Drosophila melanogaster: one gene and its partners. The protein of the gene in region 1 interacts with the protein of each later gene in a pairwise test. Each region holds a gene or a part of one and is shown on either strand. Other genes may lie near its edges.

What was found. The genes of interacting proteins can lie anywhere in the genome.
Region 2: the proteins of grau (region 1) and NimC1 interact in a two-hybrid assay, tested with the Drosophila melanogaster proteins (one large-scale study listed by BioGRID).
Region 3: the proteins of grau (region 1) and CG7386 interact in a two-hybrid assay, tested with the Drosophila melanogaster proteins (one large-scale study listed by BioGRID).

What each region holds. Positions count from the first base shown.
Region 1 is NT_033778.4:21,008,610-21,014,050, forward strand, and holds grau (grauzone), read right to left. Parts: upstream 3,313-5,441; 5' UTR 3,237-3,312; coding exon 3,114-3,236; intron 3,037-3,113; coding exon 2,270-3,036; intron 2,208-2,269; coding exon 1,998-2,207; intron 1,936-1,997; coding exon 1,560-1,935; intron 1,497-1,559; coding exon 1,260-1,496; 3' UTR 1,155-1,259; downstream 1-1,154. Other genes in the region: CG30291 (uncharacterized protein), read right to left, coding at 1-595, 647-821, 884-889; CG9346 (uncharacterized protein), read left to right, coding at 3,437-3,493, 3,553-3,669, 3,726-4,012, 4,070-4,488, 4,549-4,730, 4,793-4,836, 4,904-5,236, 5,304-5,441.
Region 2 is NT_033779.5:13,972,171-13,978,333, forward strand, and holds NimC1 (nimrod C1), read right to left. Parts: upstream 4,085-6,163; 5' UTR 4,027-4,084; coding exon 3,808-4,026; intron 3,710-3,807; coding exon 2,060-3,709; 3' UTR 988-2,059; downstream 1-987. Other genes in the region: He (hemese), read right to left, coding at 70-441, 621-719; Cyp28a5 (cytochrome P450 28a5), read left to right, coding at 5,190-5,377, 5,522-5,768, 5,833-5,937, 6,025-6,163.
Region 3 is NT_037436.4:6,187,767-6,193,036, forward strand, and holds CG7386 (uncharacterized protein), read left to right. Parts: upstream 1-1,978; 5' UTR 1,979-2,047; coding exon 2,048-3,358; intron 3,359-3,416; coding exon 3,417-4,094; 3' UTR 4,095-4,283; downstream 4,284-5,270. Other genes in the region: D19A, read right to left, coding at 1-206, 268-1,213; Sf3b6 (splicing factor 3b subunit 6), read right to left, coding at 4,715-4,943, 5,010-5,128, 5,199-5,216.

The DNA.
Region 1 (5,441 bases):
TCCTTGCTGGCGTTGCCCTCGCTGAGATTTAGCCGAATGGGCGGCTCCTCGACGGCCAAGGGTGCTTCCTTGTGGATGTACTGGTACACGGTGGTGTTGCCAAACTCCACCAGGTGGTTCAGGATAGGCAGCACTTGCTTGTTGCCGCTGACCTCCGCATACAGGTCGATGCCCGGCTGAATATTGGCAATGCCCACCAGCGACTTATCGTATAGTTCCGGTAGACCAGATAGAACCTGGACGAACTCGGCATGCAGATTGTCGCCCTTGACGCCCAGTTGCTCCAGCAAAGCCGAGTGGTCGGCCAGGATTTGGCTCTCGGGCTTGTTCAGATCGTGCGCTCGCTTCTGGGTCTCGTCCGCCTGCTGCTCCAGCCTGGCCATCTGCTTTCGCACTCCGGGAATCTCGTAGTTCACATTGCGCACGAAAATCTGAGCCGTTTCGGCCAGGTAGGTGGCATTCTTTTCGTACAGGCGGCTAATCTCTTGCCAGTCCTTCATGCGCTGGCTGCCGTAGGTGCCGAACACGCTCTTGGTGTCCTTCTCCGTCTGCTTGAGGATCTCAATGATCTCCTTCACATGGTAGTAGTTGATATCTGCAAGTGGGACACATTAGTGGGATGGCATTCTGGGCACTGGGCACCTACTTGTCCGGGCCAACAGCTTGATCAGCTGCTCATTGGAGGGCATGTCCTGCAGGGCGTTGCTAATCTTCCTGTGGATCTCCCTAAGCTCCTGCTGCACATTCTTGGGCACAATTCTGCGGCTGATCAGCCAGTCCTGCAGCTTCAGCGTGTGTATGTCGATGGGGATCTCGGACTCCTGCTCAAATAAAATGCTGATGAGCGAAATATTCCCAAAGATTTCGTTAATAAAGTGCTTACATTCATTTTAATTAAATGTTTGTCCACGCAGACTGTTTTCTATTATTTTAGCAGCTGGCAGTGTGACCAGTCTACTGTAATAAACAAAGCGGATACTTCAACCATCATACCTTTTTTTTCCAATTGAAAAATTCAAGACATTCACACTGTAAATTTTTTAAATTCAAAAACAATATTTCTGAATGTAGCTAAATGAAACATTTAAATTCAAAAAACTTAATTAAAATGTAAATAGCCAAAAATCCCACCAATATGACAACAAACCGCTCGTACTTTCAAATAATTCCTATTATACATATATTTTGTTTTCAAACAAAGGTCAATCAAAAACTAAGCAATGGTTTCCGCAAATCGATTTCCTTAAGCATTTCCGGGCCTAACCCGAATAGTCATTGGCAATAGCTGCGACATCGGCATCGTCCCGGAACATTTGCGCCACTTGGGCGCTGGGCAGGACCTTCTGTGAGCTACCGGTCTTCGTCTTTCGCCAGATGTCCCACTCCACCGGATGCATTTTCTTCTTGTGGGAGTGCATGTTGGCGTTGGAGTTGAAGGTGCGGGGACAGAAGGGACACTTGTAGAGTGGCTCGCCAGTGTGCTGCGCCATATGCTCCTGCAAACATCAATCGCTTTAATACAACACATAAATAAATAAGGGTAATATGTATTATCCAACCTTAAGGCTGATGTCCTTCTTGAAGGTTTTGCCACACTGCTCGCAGGTGTAGATCACATTCGAGTGGGAGTAGCGCTTATGACCAATCAGCGCGCGGGAGTTCTTGCAGCTCTTGCCACACTCTGAGCAGATAAACAGCTTGCCCTCGTCGTTGTGGCGCCTCAAATGCTGCTTAAGATTGTCCTCGTCCTTCAGCCAGCTCTCGCAGTCAGGACGCGGGCACTTGATCCGTGGTCCGCTCTCCTCGAAGTGCAGGCGAACGTGCTTTTCGAAGACAGCCTTGTCCTTGATCTTCTTGCCGCACACATGGCAGATATTGGCCGCCTTGCGGTGCTGCATGCTGATATGGACCTGCATGTGGTACTCCGTGGCAAAACTGTGGTGTGAAAGGAGAACGATAAGCATTGGAAACACTGCCGTTTAGCTGGCGAGGCTCACGCATTGTGTTTGGGGCACTGCGGGCAGATGAACTTGCGCTCATTTACGGGCACATGGGAGCCCTTGTGCAGTTCGAGCAGGTTGCGTCGCGAGAAGCGTTTGCCGCAGTCCTCGCACTGGAAGTCGCACTCCTCGTCTGGAACATGGTGGACCAGCCAGTGGGCACGCAATACGCTGGAATTGGCGAACACCTTTCCGCAGTCCTTGCATCTGTCGGAAAGGAAAGCTAATTATCAAATCGCTTCGAATTGGTTTGGGTAAGAGAGACCCACTTGATGTACTCGGGATTCTCATGCCTCCTCGCATGCTCCTGGATGAGGCAGCGCTTGTTGAGCTTGCGTCCGCAGCACTTGATGTAGGGCCGCTCGTCCGGATGCTTGTCCTTGAAGTGCTCGCGGATGCCGTCGAAGTCCTCGGCCAAGAATATGCACAGCTCGCAGCCCATGACTATGTAGCGCTTGATCAGTTCCTCGTCCTCTTTGCAAAACGGCGGCAGGCGTTCCATCTTGAATATCCTCTTGGGCGGTCCCCGCTTGACCACCATCTTCTCCTTCCCCTTTCTGCCCACCGACACCGTTCCTCTTTTCGTTTTAGCCGGCTTGGCCACGTCCCGTTTACGTTTGCGTCCACTCCGGGTCACGATCAGGTCGTCGGTGTCATCATCCTCGTCGTCCTCGTAGTCCTCATCCTGTTCATTGTTGGCATCCTCAAAGAGGAGTTCCATGTCGGGTGACTGTCGCTCTGTTTTGATGCCCACCTTGCTGTCTTCCGGGGACATGGGTTGGCTAAGGTCTAACTCGTCCAGGGGATTCACATTTATCTGCGCACCGACATCGTTGTCGACGGCAAGGACGTCGGCCGGCATGAGCACCTCCTCCGGCCAGGAGGTGTTCACCATCTCCGGATCCTGCTTGAACTTGGAGGTGGTGGCGTATATCACCTGGGCCTCCTGTATGGACACGTAGAACTGATGGAACTCGGACACCTGCGTCCAGCAGACGTTGCAAATAACCTTGGATATCTCGTCGTTGGGCAGTACCTGTACGCGTTCCGGAGACGAGATGGTGGTAAAAAAAGATTCCCAGGCACAAAAGTGGGTGGAGGGCAGCAGCTTACCTCGAACCAGAAATGTTGGCGCAGCACCTCCGCCACCTTGCTCTCGCCCGAGTCCACATCGAAGATCTGTAGACACATCTGGGCGCCGCTCACTCCGCGTAAACAGAGGCGGCAGATATCCATTTCGCATTTATTTGATAAAACTATAATAAAAAGTAGTCATTTACATAGCTCTGTCGATAACTCCCATCGCAACTATCGGCTGCATCGTGATTTGTTCGCTGTTCATTCTGTGCACTGGTTGTACGACGTCGGTCACACTGGCAAATTGTTGGTTTTCCTATTTTCGTATTTGCTGATAATGTGCATATTGTGTGGAAAAGATGAGTAAACAAGGGAATAAAAGCAAGGATTCGGCTGCCGCATCCGCCACTTTAAAAGTAAAGGTGTCCTGTGTAGCCGGAAAAACGAGCCTAACATTTTTCGGTCTTGTTTTCAGCGGATAAGCGAAAAGAAGTTGGAGGCCTTCACGGTGGGCACCTTCTCCAAACGACAATTGTCCAAAAAAGAGCTCGAGGACCAGAAAAAAAAGGAGGATGCAGCTGCTGCGGCACATGTAGGCGCCTCTAGCAAATCCCTCCTCCACGCATTATAATCCAATACGATTTTTAGGCCTTCAAAGAGTTCGTAGAGACTTTCCAAGATGCACCCACCCCCTCCTCGAAAGTTTGGGTCAAAGCCGGCACCTATGATGCAGGATCCCGGCGGGAGGACAAGTCGGAGAAGGGCAAGCTATACAAGCCGGTCTCCAAGCTGATGGAAAAGAGCTCCTCGGACAAGGTCGAGGATTACGCCAAGACCCTGGCCTCGGATCTCAAAAAGGACTCGGGTCCATTGAAGAAGAAAAACCAGGAGAAGAAAAAGAGCAACTTGGAGCTGTTCAAGGAGGAATTGAGACAGTAGGCCCACTTGGTTGTGCATGTGTGTATTCCATACTAATTGTTTCATGCCCACAGGATTCAAGAGGAGCGTGAGGAGCGCCACAAGTACAAGCACATGGCCTCAAGCCATTCCGCACCAGCACAGCAACCGGCTGCATCAGCTGCTCCTGTGCCCAGCAGCAGTGTCTCCACCACCTCCCAGAACTCAAGCAGCTCAAAGGAGTCTGGTTCGTTTGACACGGGCGATCCAAATACCACAAACCTGTACCTGGGCAACCTGAACCCCAAGATATCCGAGCAGCAGCTTATGGAAATCTTTGGGCGATACGGTCCCTTGGCCAGTATCAAGATCATGTGGCCCCGCTCCGAAGAGGAGAAGCAAAGGGGACGCAATTGCGGCTTTGTGGCCTACATGAGCCGCAAGGATGCGGAAAGGGCCCTAAAGACACTGAACGGGCGCTACATCATGGGCTACGAGATGCGTCTAGGATGGGGTAATCTATAGATCTTATATTGAAGTTCTTATTCCTCATACATCTTACTTAATATTTCAGGAAAGACTGTGCCCATAATGAATACGCCCATTTTTACACCGCAAGCATTGCTTGAGATGACCCTGCCTCCGCCTCCTTCAGGATTGCCCTTCAATGCCCAACCTCCACCCAGTGAAGCTGATGTGCTGCCCAAGAAAAACTACAAGGAGTTCAACCAAGAGGACAAAGAGAATATGGAGCGGGTAAGTGAATAATCACCTGCTAGCGTCTAAAGAAATAAAAATGAAAATGTTCAATTTTGTAGATACTTGCCAAATGCGTCGTTAAAGTCCATATACCCACAGAGAAGTATGAATTGCACCAAGGACATTCACTTAACAAGAACTCACGTTACTGTGCTTTTCTTTTTTTCCAGGGCTGTTCTTAATGTTATCCATCGGATGATCGAGTTTGTAATACGCGAGGGACCGATGTTTGAGGCTTTGATCATGATTCGGGAAATGGAGAATCCGCTCTTTGCGTTCCTCTTCGACAACGAGAGTCCTGCCCACATCTACTACCGATGGAAGCTGTTCTCTTTGCTACAGGGCGATACGCCCAATGAATGGCGGGAGGAGGAATTCCGTATGTTTAAAAACGGACCGGTTTGGAAGCCCCCGATTGCCAACTTCTACACTCAAGGCATGCCAGATGAGCTGGTTGTTGATCCCGATGCTCCTGTGGTGCACAAAGGAGCCTTGTCCAATGCGTACGTTTAGCATAGATAATCCTCGAAACATAAATGTTTACTGTACTGTAAATGTATACTGAAATAGGCAACGCAACCGACTCGAGGATTTGATTAGGCACTTAACTCCTGAACGCGCCCGCATTGGAGATGCCATGATCTTCTGCATTGAGCACGCAGATGCGGCTGATGAAATCTGCGAGTGCATCGCCGAGTCTCTGTCAAA
Region 2 (6,163 bases), on another chromosome or scaffold:
TGCAAATTTGTTTTTAAGAAAGTTATTATTTAAATCCTTGTTTTTAGATAATATTATTTAAATATGATTTTAATATTTAATATTATTAAAATATGCGGTACTTTCAATGGGCTTGCATTGCTCTTTCACAGAATATGAACCATAATGGCGTCGAATGCAGTATATTAGAGCAACTAAAATAGCCAAGGTAATTACAATGCCATACACACTGATAAGTAAAGTGTTGCTGTTTTCTGGTTTTGAAATCTCATTGTCCTTTAAAAATATCTTTGCTGTCGTCGAACTTTCGGTTGAACTTTCGGTGAAGTCAGAAATCTGTGTACTTTCTTCAGTAGATGTATCCGAAGTGGATTCCGTTTCACTTGGGGTTGAATCTGTTGTCATAAAGCTAGTTGAAGTTGAATCTGTTGTCATTGTAGTAGTTGGAGATGGACGGTTGCTCTGACAAAAACAAAAAATTATGATAATTCTTGGTTTTTAAAATTAAATTTTTTTAATTAAATACCTATAAATATGTAATATTTAGACTAACATATTTGTATGTCATTTGCATATGCAATTTGACCCTTTGTCATGGGTATTTAATGTTATTGATTTTAAAAGACAGAAAAAGTACGTACATGTATTGGTTTTCTGTGCGGATGTTCAGAACGGTATCCAAAGGAACTGGTAAAAGTGAACAGTGCCAGGAAAACGACGGTCAGTTGAAAATTATGCATATTAGTGACTTATGTAAACTTAGTGTGAACTGCTCCGCCGAGTGCCAAAAAATGAACTAAACTTTAAAATTTCGCTTGCCTTCTGCGGAGCGAGATTAGTACCCTTTATATGAAAGCTTTTCGGGTATATCCAATAAGGAGGAAAATATGTAACCAGTGTATTTATTTTTAATTTAATTGGCTTTATAAAAGTAAGAAGTAATTGTACAATTATTTCTTACTTTTTTATAAAAAAAGAAAGGTGAGTAAAGGATTTAAATACACTTTTAAACGTTAAGCTCGTCGAGTTCATTTTATGAATTTATTGAGTGGTATGTTTTGGTTGACTTACAACTTTTTTCTCATTCTAAAAAATATGAGGATTACAAATCAGTTGATCTCAGTCGTTTTATTAGTCCGCGAACATTTTACATATTTTAAATATTACATATTATATATGTATGTATGTATGCTTAACAGGCCTCCAATGATTTAGTAGTAAATATGACTCAATCACTTTTGTGTGTCATTCCAAACGTTTCCTGTAACTAATGATAATGGTTAATACAAAAATAATTTTTTAAAAAGAAATAATTTCCCTTATATAGTGATGAACAAACTATTTTAATGTAAATAAACAAAAAATTGCTGTGGTTGTCCAAACTTAAAACTCCAAACACAAAACGAAAGGTATTGAAAAACAAAGGGGTTGTCATACCAATACTTCACGGATTTGATCAGTTTATAAAACTGCAAGTTTCCGGTTTTTTTGCATTGTATTGTTATTATGAAAAGTTATACAGTTTTAGAGCATTACAAAAACTCTGCCTTTACAACAGCTATTGAAAGCTCCTCCGTGTGGAGGAAGTGTTTGGCCAAAATATATGTTTGATATCACGATTTATTAAAGCGTGCGTTTTATCTATTGGATTGATTAACCACACAGAAACTCTGTATGGGAATAGATACATATATGACAAGTACTGAAAAAGGAAACGCTGATACGACTGGTTGGTATCAGCGTTTTCTTTTCCAGTACTCGTAAAGTATTCGTATAAATCTTCTTAACTATTACAGTTAGACGTAATATATATCTCGTACTTGTAAAGTACCCTCTTTTGATGAAACCTAGATAGTCAACTTTAAGTAAGCACAATTGACATTTGCTTACATTTATAGTGAGTCCTGCATTCCGTACCTAAATGGTCCAGTTATTCTTTTAAGCTTGAGGACATTACCAACAAATAATTATTATAATTATTATTATAAATTTATTTCATGTTATTACATTTTTTAATTCAAGTAATTTAACAATTTTACAAGCGATTTTGAAAGGATAAGTGATTTTGTGTGGATTCAAACTATTCAAAATCACATTCAACAATGGCTTCTTCGGCTTCAAAATTTCGCCTAGAGGTAGAACGTCGATAGTACTTTATGCCAATGATTGTGGCGGCCACACCAATGATCATTCCAGCGCAGGAGCCTACGATAATCATCCACTTGTTAGACGATCCAGTTCGGTCAGGAATCCGTACCTCAGCCTCTGATCTTGCCCCCTGCTCTGGCAAAATATGACAAACGTATCGCGAATTCTCCCCGCTGTAATCCATGTCACTATCCTCTTGGCACACCAGTTGACCACTCGATAAATCGCATTGGCAATTGTCCAAATTGAGGCACGGCTTGTCCTGGGGATCAACACAGATCTTGGCACACTTGGCTGTATTGAAAGTACCCATCCCATCGTATTCAATCCAGCACATGCAACCGGCAGTGCAATTTGAGTGCGGAACCTCGCTGGTTGATGTCTGCAGTTGAGGGTCTACAGTTGATGATTGCAACTCCACAGTTGTGGTGCTGTATTCATAGGAGTCCGTCGTGGTTTGTAACTCGCATAGTCCGTTAATATTCTCATAGCCCACGTTGCACTCGCACACATTCGGTGCCACACAGTCTCCGAATTGGCAGCCTTTGCAGATCGGCTGACACATAGAAGTGACAGGATTTGTGCTATTGAGCTGATAGCCATCGTGGCATATACAAAAATTGGGTGCCACACAGTGTCCGTTGCTGCAGCCACTGTCGCAAATAGGATCGCATTCGTGATGGGAGTTGTCCTTGAAGCGATAACCCGGATCGCAGGTACAGGTTTCTGGACTGGTGCACTTGCCATGAACACAGTTTAGGCTGCATTTTGGCTCACAGACTTGATTGGGACCCATTTGATAGCCAATACTGCAAACACAAGTCTCCGGTGCAAAGCAAAAGCCGTTGGTACATCCCTTGCTGCACTTGGGTACGCACTTCTTGTCCGCCCCCGACGACTCATAGCCCGGAAAGCACTCGCATTGGTTGGGCGCCACGCAGTGTGCGTTATCCGAGCACTTTTCGCAATGCGGCTGGCAGAGATCATTTCTCATTACGTAGCCCGGCTTGCAGACACAAACGCCGGGACTCAAGCATAATCCGTTCTCCGGGCAAGTGGAGCACACGGGTCGGCAATTGGTGCCTCCGTCGTCACCGGCATATCCATTTTCACACTCGCACACACCTGGCCTCACACATCGGCTGTTTTGGCCACAATCCTTTGGGCAAATGGGCGAGCAATTGCCATTTGAATTGTTCTTGTATCCATCTGGAAAGACGGTGCCGTTTCCCACTTTCTCGTACCCAGGTTCACATTCGCATTTCCCGGGCTCCGAGCAAAAGCTATGGTGTCCACATTCCTTTTCGCAAACTGGAAGGCAATTGTCGCTGGGAGAAGTTCGTTTGTAGCCATTTTGGCAGCTACAGACTCCGGGGCGATCGCAAAACTCGTTTTTTCCACATACCGTTGGGCAAACGGGATGGCAGTCGATACCGCCGTAGCCCGCATTGCAACTGCAAGTATTGGGGGACGAGCAGAATCCATGTTGAGGACACTGTTGTCTGCAGACAGGTTTGCAGTTCTCAACGGATCCTTCGTAGCCCTCACAGCAACTGGGTCTCATTACGGTCCTGTAGGCAGTCTAGAGAACAGGAGAAAAAGCCTCTTTAAAGGAAACTTTAACTACACACTTACCAAAGCTATAAATAATAATATAAATTATGTACAAATTCGAATTACCTCATCTTCATAGACATATTGATGCCTGTACTTAGTAACCCAACCATGAAAGTATGAATACTGTTGAAACGGAACCAATTTACTTTTAAGAACCTTACGGTTATACGGAACGCTTTCCGGGTGACTGCAATCATTTAGGCCATGCCGTAAAATGGCGAAACTTGTGCCAAAGGACAATGACAGACACACAAAATGCAGTGAAAATGCAGTAAAATCCATGAGTAATGCGAGTCAATTCGTTTCCTGAAGTATATACCATATATATATTCACTATCTTAAAGCAACCAGTCTGTCCGATGAATTAAACAGAACTGGACCCTCAATTAATGTAATGTTCTTTTCTCTTGGATTTTTAATGAATTCCAGATAACGAGCACACTATATCTTCGTTTGCTTTGTACATAGGAATCTTTTAGTATTTTATAATTATTTGTATTATTAGCTTTAGGGAGACTAGTTCCGTTCCCCATTTATATTTTACTCAAAGTTTTGTATTTACCTCTTCGTCTGTATAATACTCGGTGCGGTATTTTGTCTGCCAACCACTCCAGAAAGATCTATGCTGGTATGGTATCACTCTACTCCTTTCGACATATCTCTTGTAAGTAACCACCTGCGATCGGTTACAAACATTCAAGCCGATGGGTTGAATGAAGTCGACGAGTAGCATAAAAAAACCCAGACACACCCAAAGGCATTGGATGTGTGACATTATGGAAAGAGCAGAAATCTTGTAAAATTCAGCTTTGATCTCTATGTAAATGAGTTCGGCGCAACGTTTCAAATTCAACTGAGCTGCAAATGTAAATTTATATATTTCATGTTGCTCCAAAATCAGCTACATCCGTTGAGGACTCGACAATCTAGACCTATACATATAAACCGCTTGGGATTATCTGAGCATTTGTTTATCCCAATATTGCAAGCAAAATATGTAAGACAGAAGCAAACGCTATAATGTTTCCTTCAACTACTGTATATATTTCATCAGCCATTCAAATATGCCCTAGGTTACTAAAGATACTTAAATTTATTCTAAATGGTTAATTTCATTGCGGCTAGTCGAGTTGCAACATCAAATGTTATTGCTTTTTTCTACAAAGAACAAGACCGTAAATAAATAATAATTGCTTGATATGACGATTGACGACCGCCTGCAATAATGATTAGCTCTTATCATTTATATGTTAGAACTGTTTATGGTGAAAGTGTGAGTAGTTTACTCTCCCAGAGCACTCACTCAGGTATCTCGGTGATTCCACACTGTTGAATACCTCTCCCAAATTCAATGAGCAGCTACAAATAGAGCAGAGTATCTGATTCCACAACAGACGCCGTTTAGAACTCGTCGCGCGTGGACGTAGATTTTAGAGCGATCGAAAATGGTTCTGATTACTTTGACCCTGGTTTCGTTGGTGGTGGGCCTGCTGTATGCCGTGCTGGTATGGAACTATGACTATTGGAGGAAACGGGGCGTTCCTGGTCCCAAGCCAAAGCTATTGTGCGGAAACTATCCAAACATGTTTACTATGAAGCGGCATGCAATCTACGATCTAGACGATATATACAGGTGAGTTATCCCAGCTAGAAAGGTTATATTAACTACCAAAATTCAATGGATCATCAACTGTTTCACAAAGAAACCAAGAACCATTCTTAAAACGCATTTAAAAAATTACGCTTTACTTGAATTTAATGCGATCATTTTATTCAGGCAGTATAAGAACAAGTACGATGCTGTGGGCATTTTTGGCAGCCGCTCTCCACAGCTGCTGGTGATCAATCCCGCGTTGGCGCGTCGAGTCTTTGTGTCCAACTTTAAGAACTTCCACGACAATGAGATCGCCAAGAATATTGACGAGAAAACCGATTTCATTTTCGCCAACAATCCGTTCTCGTTAACTGGCGAAAAGTGGAAAACTCGAAGGGCGGACGTAACGCCTGGTCTTACGATGGGACGGGTGAGGCAGTTCATCCAGTGGCAAGCCCGAAAAGTACTGATCCAACCAATATACATAATTACAGATAAAGACAGTCTATCCGGTGACAAACAAGGTGTGCCAAAAGTTGACCGAGTGGGTGGAGAAGCAATTGCGTCTGGGTTCTAAAGACGGCATCGATGCCAAGCACGTAAGATTCCATCTATACTATCTGTTGTACGTATTCTATGAAACCAAACCTGTTTTTTTTTTTTTTTTGCTACTTTATCGTCCACAGATGAGTCTCTGCTTCACAACAGAGATGGTCACCGATTGTGTTTTGGGTCTGGGCGCTGAAAGCTTTTCGGATAAGCCCACACCCATAATGTCGAAAATCAATGATCTCTTCAACCAGCCCTGGACCTTTGTGCTGTTCT
Region 3 (5,270 bases), on another chromosome or scaffold:
GAATACGGTGTCGCATTCTGTGCAGGGGAAATCTCGAAGCGGGGCAGCCGCCTTGGTGATACCGTGCACCTTCTTCATGTGGAAGGTGAGCAGACGGACGCGCGGGAAGGTCTTGCCGCAGCCCTCGGCGATGCAGGCGTGAACCTCGGACAGCTCTGTGTGGGCGTGGTCGATGTGAATGCGCAGCCCATTGGCGGTAGTGAAACCTGTAAGGTGGGATTTCATAGAGATCGGATACTTATATTTATACTTAAGCCAGCGTTATACCTTTCTTGCAGGTCTCCACCTTGCATTGGAAGGGCAGCAGGTCGTTGTGGTACTTCATGTGCTCCTCGTAGCGGATGGCCTTCTTGAACTTCTGGTGGCAAATGTGGCAGTCGATGATGCGGTGCAGGTGGCGTTCCTCGATGGGAATGCGCTTCCTCTTCGGCTTGTCGCCCCGCGATGTGCCGTCTTCGGAGTCATCTGATTCGGAGGATGAGTCGCTCAACTCCTCCTCCTCTGGCGGAGGCGGTTTTATCTTTTTGGGCCGTCCCCGGGGCCTCGGCTTGGGTTTGTCTAGGTTGCTAAAACGGTCCTGCTGGGGTCCTGATCCGGTAGCTGGTCCCCTCATGCGCTGGGCCAGCGGAATGTCATCATCGCTGCTATTTGGCTCGAAGTCCAGATCGTGGTCGTTGTCATTGCCGCTCTCGATGGACGAATCGTCGTCGAACATCTTGACGGAAACGTTGCCCCCGTCATCCTCCTCCACCTTGGCCTCCTTCTCCACCTCCTCGGCCTCCTTGTCGACGTGCTCCAGCATCTTGAAGACATCCTCCTCGTTCTCGATTAGCTCCATCTTGTGGTTCAGCAGCGGGTCATAGTTGACGTGGTCCTCTTCCTCGGCCGGGTAGTCCTGCACGGCAACGTTGGGATCGAAGACGTCGAAGCTGCTCTGGCAGGCAAAGACATTGCTGGCCACCAGATCCTGGAACTTTTGCACGGAATCGACGCACTGTTTCTGAAAGTCGTGCAGCTCGTTCAGCTTGGTGTAGCACAGGGTGCACAGGTTCTTCGGGAATCCGTCGTTTTGCTCCACGGACAGGGATGTGCAGAAGCATAGCTTCTTCGAAAGTCCTGGAACCAGATACAAATCGTAGGCGGCGTCGTTCTGCAGGTGGTTCAGACAGATCCTGCACAGGCTGTGGATCGAGTACTGCCTGCCCTCGTTCATCTTGCTTTCAATCGCAATCGGCACTGCGGATCGGGGCGGTTTTCTATAGCTTTTTGCGTCTCTCTCCGGTCAGTAAGCAATAAAATAATATTGACACAGAAAAAATTGTATACTCGTCGACTGGCAATCGGGCGAGTGGGCAATAAGCAAGTACTTCTGCCAGCGAGTTACTCGTCCGAGTGCGTAGTTGTTTTGCGTTTCAGGGCTGGACAATCAATGTTTTTTCTTACCTTCTTATTTGCAATTCTAATTAGGTTGCAATATACAAAAAAAAAAAATATATATATATACAACTAATTTAATTAAATAGATATTGCTTGTATACTTCAAATAGTATTTCAGGGTTTTTTAAAAATATTTTGCAAACTGAGCACCATAGTAACAAAAACGAAACTGAACTTACAATATATAGATAATGGTATGTATATATAGAAAAAATATAAAACAAATTTTTTTGTATTAGTATGTATATATAAACATGTAAAACAAATTGCTTTTAATAATAAGCAACGACATTTGAAAATATACAAACTGGGCATCAAGAAAATTTGATACGAAAATGAACGTACAAGATTTCTGTATCGAAATAAAGTCAAAAATAAATAATAAATAAATGTATTTTAACTAGACGCATGCATGGTCTTGCTAAAAAGCACTTACATTAAAACAAGTTAATATAAAAATAAGAATCCAAGTATGCTGTTTACTTGCCACCCCACTACACCGTAATGGGTTAATGGCATAGCGAAACGGTCAGACTGCCTGTCACACTGGAACAAATTTGTTTAGAAGCTTCGATTGTTATCTGCCCGAGAATTGAGGGAAATGGGCACTATGGAGCTCAAGTACTCCGTCCAATCGCTTTGTCTCACCTGCCTTGTCCACCTGAAGCATGGTGCTGGACACGATCTCTTCGTGGTTCCAGATCTGTTCCAGAAGCTCAGGGCGTGCACTTCGTTTGATGCGGATCAAAACGACGGTTTCCCGAGAAACCTGTGCACCCAATGTTTCACCAAGCTGAACGACCTGCATGACTTCCGCGAACTGTGCGCAGAATCTATTAAACGTCTAAAGGAAATGATGACCAGCCAGAGGAATATGCCCATGGGTGTATTCGAATCTATAGCTGATGATTCTGAGGCACCTGAAAGGCCAGAGGAGCCGGCCAGTTTCGATCCGCTGCTGAATAACAAACTAGAGATGATTGACAACGAGGAGGATGTGTTCAAGTTGCTGGAAAAAGTTGACAAGGAACTAGAGGAGCATTCAAGGGACCAAAGCGAGGAGCACTTCTCCAGTGCAGAGCACAACGGACTGGAGGAGGAGAAAAAGGAGTCGGAAGGGTTCAACAGCGACGATGAGCAGGCCATGGGGCAGCGACGGATTGCGAACGACAAGCGTAAACTGTTTCGCCTTATGAGCTGTTCCATCTGCCAGCAAAAGTTCAAAAAGCAATCAAAGTTCGAGGAGCACATGAAGCACCACAATGACCTGTTGCCGTTTCAGTGTCAGGAGGAAAGCTGCCGAAAGGGCTTCACCACAGCCGGTGCACTGCGTTTGCACGTGGACTATGCGCACTCCAAGAAGGAGGATACGGTTCCCTGCACCGTGGAGGGCTGTCAATTGGTTTTTTCCCGTCTCCGGCTGCTGACCATTCACTTGAAAAAGGTTCACAACCAGGCGAGGGTTATTGCTCCGCGGGGTGAACAGTCTTGCAAGGAATGCGGCGTGGTGTTTCGTTGCCCGGTGGCTATGAAGAAGCACATGTACACGCACACGGGCGAAGAGCTTCCCTATCCGTGTACCATTTGCGGCAAGGGCTTTTACATCAATAGTGCCCTAAAGAATCATCTTCTCCGGCATGCTGGCATCAAGAACTACGTGTGTCAGTACTGCGGAGTGCGAAAGACCACCCGCCAGGAATGGAGTAAGCACATTCTGATCCACACCCAACGGAACCAGTTTAAGTGCCGCATCTGCGACTATGCCACCCACACGAAGCGGGTGCTAGAGAGCCATGTTAAGATCGTACATGAGAAAATCCGGAATTTTGCTTGCCAGTACTGTGGAAAGACGTTCGGGAAAGCATACGCCTGCAAAATACACGAGATGGCGCACACTGGTGAGAAGCGCTGCGAATGCAAGGTAAGGGAATTACCATTATACCCTTGTTACCAAAGTCTGATATATTTTCGCCTTGCAGGTTTGTGACAAAAAGTTCCTGCATTCGGAGAGTCTCAACAATCATCTGAAGATTCATGAGAAGAGCGTGGAAAGGGCTCTGGAAACTTATAAACAGGTGCAAGTAAATGGCGATGCCAGTGACACTCAAGTGGACTCACATCAGCTGCTGAAGGTTTACGCCGAATCCGTAGCCAGCATTCCTAAGAATCCCCGCCGCGTAGAGCAAGTTGATGTGGCCCTATTGGCAGGGACCGCAGTGAATCCCACAGACGAGATTCAGTTTGTGCAAAAGGAGGGTATGTACTTGTGTCCCAGCTGCAGTCAGGGATTCAAGAGCATAGGCAACATGAAGCGCCACTACAAGAGCGTCCACGAAAAAGTCAAGGACTTTGAGTGCCGTTTCTGCTCCCGTCGCTTTGCCAACTCGCAATCCGTGAAGCAACACGAGTGGATACACACTGGCGAAAAGCCCTTCGAGTGTAAGACGTGTGGCAATCGCTTTCGCCAGGTAGCGGCGCTCATCCGACACCAAAAAGTCCATGACGAAAAGCCGGCGAAGCCTCTGGGGGAGAGAAATGACCGTAAACAAAAGGTTGAGGCACTACGGCAGGAAATTGCGAAGGTCGCCAAGAAGGAGCTCAAGGATTTGAAGAACCAACTGGCACTGGAGAAGCAGCAAGACACATACGAAAAGTAATAGGCAGCGGCAGCTAGCCAAACTGGTCCTGACCTTAAGGAGGAACCCTAATCGCAGAATAGTTTACGATTACATAGGGCAAAAGACTTCCCATAATAGTGGGAATTTTTATTGTTGGTTAATATTTAACTATTACTTGTTATCCTATTTCTAAGTTGTTAAATAAACTTGACCCAAATGACACACTTTAGAATAACTACAAATGGTTTTGGACTAAAACTAGTTTTAAAAAAAATTGGTCATAAATCGAAACAAACGATTCTAGTTTTTCAATTTTTTTTTATTTTTACTTTCACTTGCTTGTTATTTTGATGAGAGAGTGTCTTAATGTCGTCAAATGATTGCAAACAGTCGGAACCGGGCGCAAATGTCTGCGTTCCGCGATATCCGGCCGTTTATATGATAGATGGAGTGATGGATGGATGATAATGATTAGATTCAAATGATACAAAATGCGATCAAAAAAATCTACAAGTAGATAGCAAAAATTTGGTATACACATAAGCAGAGCAAGAAGTTCCCTAAACAATGGAAAATGGTCGATGGAAGTGGGGGCGTCATCTGGTGGGGCCCAATGTCTGGCTATGCCCCATCACCGCCTGCCGCACCAAGTGTGGGTTCTAAGGAGCTTCAGGCGTCTTCAGATTGTACTTGGCCTTAATGTTGTTCAGTTCCTCCTGTTTCTTGTCCATGTCCACGCGCTTGAAGGCCTTGTTGGATTGGTAGTAGAGCACCACCAGATAGCGATTGCACACATTAAAACCCGATAAATGGTCACAGGCGTTCTTGGCATCGAAAATGTCCTCGTAGACGACAAAGGCGGTGCCACGCGTTTCCGGAGTGTTGCCTCTGCAAAAGATACACAAATTGATTGAGAGGATTCACGGCGAATAGCATTATCATCTTCAATCTTACACGCGTATCTGTCGAATGGCTCCAAATTTGCCGAATATGTCGTACATCTCGTCCGAGGTGATTTTGTACGGCAGGTTCCGCACGTACAATAGCCGATTCACCTCTGGCGGCAGGCGGATCTGCAAAAGAAATAGCACTTTTCACTCAATACATTTGCTTTGTGTGTGGAGCCGTAGGTTTTCTGCTCACATGGTTGCGCTTGTTCATGTCCGGTCGCTTCGGATGTTAAGCGGCGACAAGGCGAGAAACTTTCACTCGGCC